Xenopus tropicalis: one gene and its partner. The protein of the gene in region 2 interacts with the protein of the main gene of each other region in a pairwise test. Links are inferred from orthologs where the notes say so. Each region holds a gene or a part of one and is shown on either strand. Other genes may lie near its edges.

The links.
Region 1: the proteins of blmh (region 2) and nudt12 interact in binary tests that used the Homo sapiens proteins (3 or more experiments, as listed by UniProt). The two-hybrid records come from large-scale screens. The link is inferred for Xenopus tropicalis from reciprocal best matches to the Homo sapiens genes BLMH and NUDT12.

What each region holds. Positions count from the first base shown.
Region 1 is NC_030677.2:175,352,127-175,355,039, forward strand, and holds the end of nudt12 (peroxisomal NADH pyrophosphatase NUDT12), read left to right. Parts: intron 1-1,453; coding exon 1,454-1,564; 3' UTR 1,565-2,122; downstream 2,123-2,913. UniProt on the Homo sapiens protein: mRNA decapping enzyme that specifically removes the nicotinamide adenine dinucleotide (NAD) cap from a subset of mRNAs by hydrolyzing the diphosphate linkage to produce nicotinamide mononucleotide (NMN) and 5' monophosphate mRNA.
Region 2 is NC_030678.2:32,501,585-32,506,190, forward strand, and holds the start of blmh (bleomycin hydrolase), read right to left. Parts: upstream 2,844-4,606; 5' UTR 2,800-2,843; coding exon 2,790-2,799; intron 1,016-2,789; coding exon 818-1,015; intron 1-817. UniProt on the Homo sapiens protein: The normal physiological role of BLM hydrolase is unknown, but it catalyzes the inactivation of the antitumor drug BLM (a glycopeptide) by hydrolyzing the carboxamide bond of its B-aminoalaninamide moiety thus protecting normal and malignant cells from BLM toxicity.

The DNA of each region.
Region 1 (2,913 bases), on a different chromosome or scaffold from region 2:
CTTTAACCATAAATCATTTATATGGCTGACTGCCTTTAAAAATGCAAATCTTGTCACCATATGAAAATGTTCTTTTTTTAAAGCAATAACAGCAAAATATGATCTGTAGGAAAAAGGGAGGTAAGAAATTTGAGCCTCATTTAATAAAACAGCAGTATATTTTCAAGTCAGTCTCTGTTCTCAGTTGTCATGTGAAGGAAAACTATGCCACAACAAATGGAAAATAGACTATAAAACAACATAATTGCTGCATCCTGAACAAAGAAGAGCTATTCTATAGTTTAAGTGGAAGCCTATAAGTGTATGCCTAGCAGCTATGGGTCCTGAGTTCAGTTCTGACATGGACGCTATCTGCAGGGATATTGTATGTTCCCCCTGTGTCTACGTGGATGTCCTCCGGCCACTCCAGCTTCCTCCCTCACTCCATAAACATACAGGCAGGTTAATTGGCTTCTGACCCATGTCCAAGTGTGATAGGGACCTAGCACTTAAGCTCCAGTGGGGCAGGGAATGATATAAATGATGAACTCTCTGTGCAAAGAGCTGGGGAAACATGTTGGCACCATATAAATGAAGGATAATAAAAGTAATGTCATCAAGTTGTACAGTAAATGCTTTATACAGAAGCACTCATTTATTCCTAGCTGTCAGATGCAGTGTTTTGTTTCCAGTATAGAAGCCTGTGTGATGCACAGTGCTTTGAAGGCCTGTTTAAAATATCGCTGCCTATATTTATCCAATGTTTAACATGTTGCAGCCAATATCTGTTCAATGTATATGTACACTAAGGACACACTTGGGGCAGTGGAGCAAATTTAGGAGCCAAGGAATTTATGTTGAAAAGTGGTGTCCCAACATCCCCTATGCCATCTCGAGTGAGAATAAGCGCTGCAGGAATTTGTCACTAATTCTGTACTTGTGCATGTGCAAGCACAGGGGATGCTGGGGCACTGCAAGAGCATGGAATCATAGTGCTAAAGAGAGATTTTTGGAATAAGAGGAGTGCTGACTTGGGGTCTGAAGTAAGTGAATAGTATCACTGGGGGTGCCTAATGATTTTACCTTTCCTTGTCCTTTAAACACTGATTCCTCTGATGCCAAGCCTTAATAAACACCCCAGTGACTCTCTGCTAGAGGATAAGTCCATGCTTATAAAGATATAATTTATTAGGCTAATAGTTACAATTTACCCTTCCTGGAAAGAGAGCCACTGAATACACTAAAACTATTATTGGCATTGGCATTAATTTGTGGTGTTAGGGGATCCAGAAGCTAATAATGAGAAACCTTTTTGTTTCTTATTATTATAACCAATGTATTAGGATTCTGATAGGATTCTGATAGTGTCCAGGCAAAGATAGAAATTCCAGGAAATAATACTGTGGTTTACATTAGGATTAATGTCATATAAATCATAAATGATTATAACAAGATCTGTTTTTTTGTGTTGCAGGTTGTAGATGCAGTGATTAAAGGAAACCATCATGCATTAACTGTACCGCCAAGGCAAGCCATTGCATATCAGTTAATAAAGCACTGGATCGGAATGAATGCCAATCTGTAAATTTGTGTGATCTAAATATACATTTAACATTTTTATTTTAAGAACTGAGAAATGCAGTTTCCATAGGGATGTACTATCATTGCACCTACAGGATGAGAAGCATAAACACTATAATCAATGCAATAAATCCCAACTTTAATATTTTACTACAAAATCCTTTTTTGTGCTAAATTTTCAGGCAGAATGAAAATTTATCTGGAAACCCATTATCCAGAAAGGTCCAAATTATGGAAAGGTTATCTCTATAGAGTCTATTTTAAACAAATAATTTACATTTTTAAAAGTGATTTCATTTTTTTCTGTAATAATAAAACAGTACCTTGTACTCAATACAACTAAGCTGCATGAATCCATATTGGTGACAAATTAATCATTGGGCTTATTTCATGTTTAAATGCTATTTAGTAAACTTAAACTATGGTGATCCAAATTATGGAAAAACCTTTATCTCAGAAACCCCAGTTTTCAGGGTTTCTGGATTAGAGATTCCATACCTGTATATAAGGGCATAAATACAACCTTAGTAATTCATACTTAATAAATATATTTATTATTTAATGTGTTTGTTTATTTTGGATACCATTTAAAACAATGTATGATTTAAAGCAGGGCTGTACAAACTAAAGGCCTGCAGTCCAGATGAGATCTGCCAAGAGGTTTTTATGCCCCCCTGCCCTACATCGATTTCAATTCATCCACTCATCCACAGGTGAAGGCTCAGAGCAATGCATGGGAGCACTCTGCTGCAATTGTACAACCAAGTGTAACAAAACAAAAGCACCAAACTGGACTCAACAGCTCAATCTAAGCAGTGACAATCTGTGATGGGGCAGTCTGTGGGGTGCACAGAGGGAATGCTAGACTAATGGGTGGGGGGAGGTTGGGAAATGATCCATGCAAGTGAGAGCCAGACTATCCTTGTTTCCTCTTAATCTGAGCAATCAGCTAAGTCTGTGTAAAAACTTCTATATTTTTGTTAGTTTAGTGTTTATTGATATATTTATATTTTAGAATGTGAGTTATTTTAACAAGTAGTTAGAATGAGAATATATATATATTTAATATATATTTTTTTAAGAATAACGGTACATTCCCACATTGGTGACTTTATCCCCTGCATGCCAGGGCCTTTGATCTTGTTGTGCTGAGTGTTGCGAGACACAGAACTACAGAGATCAAAGTGCATCCTAGAAATGTCAAATCTATGGTGCTTGCAGTGCTTGGCAGTAGTTGTAGCAAGCTGTACCTATGGGATGTTACGAAGTACTAAAGCTCTTTTTTGGACTGAAAACAGCCCTGCCTGCATGAGAGGCACATAGATAAAGTGGATATAAAAAGTCTACACACCC
Region 2 (4,606 bases):
TTTAAATTTTTAAAAATGGTTTCCCTTTTCTATGTAACAATAAAACAGTGATTTGTACTTGGTCCTAAAAAAGATTTAATTAATTCTTACTGGAGGCAAAACAATTTTATTGGGTTAAATTAATGTTTGGAGACTTAAGGTATGGAGATCCATATTACAGAAAGACCCCTTATTCAGAAAAGTCCCAAGCATTCTGGATAACAGATCCCATACCTGTGCTACTCCTTTTATGGTTGATGAAAAATTAACAAAGAAAGGAGGAAGCACTGCTCCTCAGCACACTAGCTGCACTCTAACTGCAGGTACTGTTGGACTGAAGGCAGCTTTGAGGAACAGTCATCCTCAGAAAAAAAAATAGATCCGATGGGTGGCAAAACAACTGCGTACCACTGCTTTTACAGAACACTACATGGCATTATGTTCATTAAGGACGTGTCAGCAAAATGGGGTCATACATAGTACCCCCCATATTGGGATTCCACCGGAGGTTCTTATTGATACGGTAAATTCAATTCCAACAATGTCTGTAATAACTGCAATACTGTATGAATACTTGAGAGTATACTTTACATCCATTGATACTAGGAAGCTGTGTGTGTGTGTGTGTCAGACCTGGATTGGGAGGCCCTGGCATTCCAAGAACACAGAGGCCCAAACAGCCCCAACTAACAGACTAAATAATAACATTTGGTGGCATCTTACAGCAGGCCTTCTGGCATTTGCCAAAATCCCCAGATTGCCAGTCCAGGCCTGGTGTGGGTGGAAGCAGAACCTCTGTAAGTGCATTTAAAAAATAAAAACAGCATGGCTCCCTTACCTGAGTTCTTTTGGTTCGTAACTGGTTTACCCTCTGCCGGGATAGTGTGCTGGAAAACGTGTACTGTGTCCTGCACAGTCTGCCTCTGAAGACACACTTCAAGTGGATCGATACATGTTGCTACATTTTGAGCCAGTAAGAACTGAGGTTCGGATTTCAGTTTTTCCTTGAAAGATGATGTTTTCTCCAAGCTTAAACCTTAAAGGAAGCAGAGTACTGCAAGTCAAAAGAAGTGTTGAATCAAATAAATATGCTGTGTAATATTTGTTTTACTTATTAAGTATTTAAGCTAGCTAGAAACAATAAAAATGAAAGCAACTTAAATTTTACTGTAATGTGATGTGTTCATAGGGTATACATTTCTAAAAGCTACCCTAATTTAGCTTTTTATAAAGTAATAATATTACATTGTAAGGTTAATGGTAAAAAGTGATCATCACCAAATGATCGAATTACAACAACGGAAACATGCTTGAGTGCATTAGAGTAAAATCAGAAAAAGCCGACAATTTGCTCTACTGTGCATGCATATCCCAGGACCCAGCAGATGCACGGCGATCACTAAAAAAAGCACCCCCAGGTTCGTAATTTTTAGTGAAGAGTTGCAAAGCCCAAGGTCTGAGGTAAGTGATTATACTCAATATAAATATATAATGATCATCTATAATGGAAAATGCATGCCCTTCTCTCAGCTATAGGGACACTGGAACTAGAAGTCTCAAAATTCTGTAACCATAAATGTATAAGAATGCAGGCCAAGTGCCTTTAAGTTTAAAAAAATTAAATTTGTTTCCCCCCACCAGAGGTGCGGGCTAATAGAACAAACAATAGTTTTCTCTAAAAATAAAAAAATGTGCATTTTGTGCATGTGTGTGACATAGAAGCAGTGGATGCGACTCTCCATTCCATCACACGCATACACATAATAAGAGAGTTGTGACATTTGCTCGTTATGCGCATGTGAGAGCCACAACATACTTGTCCGAATTGCTCTATTAGCACGCATCTCTGGTGGAGAAAGCAATTTTAGGGTGATAGGTGCTCATTAAGAAAGGGGTACAGTAGCTGCTATATACATAAAATTCTCTCTAGTGTAGATGTACTGCGAGAAAAGGATCATTGAGTCATAGCAGCAAGCCAGTTGCCAATAGTGTGCGCAAGGATACCCATATTGTTGTTGGATACATGGCCAAACAGTCTTTTGAGGGAAACTGTATGTACCCCTATTGTTAAAGGCATGGATAGTGGAGAAGACAAAGGAGGTTCATGACCTCACAAATTCACATGGCTAACACACTAAGTTCTTTCATACAGGCCATGCAACTCCTAGGTAGCTTCTAATAATTCTTCTATTTGAAAATAAAGGGGATATAATGTTACAATTGTGTGAAAAAAAACAAAACAAAACCCAAAATGGTTTAAAATCATGTGATAACCCTTTCAATAAATACTCTTTACTCACTTTTAACAATGAAATGGAGTTTGACCTTTTTTTTTTTGACTTCTCATTTTATTGATACCGTGCATATAAAGCCTCCTTTCCCTAAGAAATCTCCTGTGCAAACCAGAACAAATACCACCATAGGTACATTTCTCGTTACAGGAAGGTAATCCGTGAGGGCACACCAATATGTACACTGGTTACTGTTTTTTACAACTTCGCTACGGTAGAAGGAGAAACAACAAGCATGACATTTCTTAAACGAAGAAACGAGCTGGACTACAATTCCCAGCATTCAGTGGGGGTGACATAACAACACAGCTTCATGGTTCAGGATGCAGGCGAGCAAACGCCACAAAGGTTAACACATTAGAGCCCCGCCTGCTGCTAGAAAAACACGCCCCTGGCTGCTATTCCCCGCCCATGACTCAGCACAAGCGACAGTAAAATCACAGTAAAGGAGGCAAGCCCACTGCCAATGGCCTCTCCGCCAGGGAAATATGTTTGAGTTGTAGCTCCCCTGTCCCTTACCCGCGCTCATGGTACAACTTCTTGCTCTCAGGTGCGACAGCGCAGTGACAATTCCTTCTCTGACAATGTGCCGGCAAATCTCACCCCCTGCCTACAGCTTTCCGGGCGACGCAGGAAGTGGTGGGTCAGGACGTGTGAAAGGCAGGCCGTGATTGGCTAGGGGGCGTGTCCTTTGCCGGCCAGGAAAATAAGTAGCACGTGATCTTGCGTGTTCTGTGCGTACCTTGTTAGAGTATAGGAAGTTGTGTGTGTAGTAGAACCGTGGTGGAGACTTGTGGCGCTAGGCTGAAAGAATAAAGCGCTTTTCGGTGGTTTCCATTGTTTTCGTTTATATTCGCGGTACGAATGTGATTCTTCTTTAGGGAAGAGAAAATCATCGAGAAAGAAATGAAAGTGGGGAGGTGTAAAAAAAAAAGAAATACGGGGTGCAGGGATGAGAAGAGGAAAGTAGGCGACAGAGAGGCTGAAGGAAGCTTTAACTAGATCAAAATGAAAGAGGAAAGGGTGGAAAGCAAAATGAAAAGAATACATTTGAAGTTCAGCCTGACGCGTATACAGCGCACATTGCTAAGTTAAACGGTCTGTTGTCTTAGGAAGATCCCCAATGTATGGTCAGAAATATTTTTGGTAATGTTCCACACTACCTGGCTATGGTGGGATTGGTAAGGGCTAATCCAACAACCAGGTTGCCCATGGCATCACAACGATTTCACTAGAGGAATAAGTTGTCCAGGGTGGGCAGGGATAAATTATAATAGGAAGACAAGGGACACTATAAAACTTGATTTATCAGTAATTGGGGATACGAATTACATATAGGGCTTTATAGGAAATGGGGCCCAATTATGTATAATTATGGTAAACTCAAAAGAAATCCACAGCACTTGACCTTTACAGACAAAGTCCTCCACTACACAAAAAGCCATGTAATAAAAGTTGTGGAGAATATGTGGGCATTTTATAAATAAATAATAGTAAAGGTTAGTGCTCGTATAGCTTTTTCATGTGCTGGAGCCGATTATTAAATGAGTCCAGTAATCTGATGCAGATAGAATTCATGCTTATCCCCAGTGGTGTAACTATAGAGGACGTAGACCTCATGGTTGCAGGGGGGGACTGGACAGCCGCAGGGTCTGCTATAGTTTTAAGAAATCCCTGCCCAGGGGCACTGTTGCCATGAGGCGAGTTGAGAAACTTGCCTCAGGCTGTAGCGCCCCCCAAAAAGACACGGGGCAGCAAAGAGCCGCTCCTGATAACTTTAAGAGACAAATTTTCTAGCCAGCTGTTATTGCACCATTGCTTATACCTTGATCTTAGCTACATGCCATTTATCTAATACTCTAATGAAGTTAAACTATGGTTGCCACCTTGTCTATAAAATAAACACCACCCTTCCTTTTTCTGTTTCTACTCTAATAATTTCACTGCTACCAAGTATCATTTAACTGGGAAAACCTTTAAAATACTATCAACTAAAGGTTACCTGTTTCATAACTGTTCATTAAATTGAACAACCAAATGATCAATGCCAAAAGAAAAGTTAAAAATCTTGCTGGGCAGTGACACATGGTCATTGGTCAACCCGAGTTTGGCCAATCTTATTGCACTTTTCTGACAAAGGTTGTTTATTTCTTTGTCTTGCAAAAGTCTTTCTAACAGTGACATTCATTTTAAAATAAACACATACAGATCCTGTAGTTGAGCTAGGGCAATAGCCTGTAGTAGTTGGTTTTAATCAGTCTTTTACAACAAAAGAAACACTAAGCAAAATAGCAAATCAGCCACACTGTCTTTTAAATGTTTTTTTTTTAGTTTTA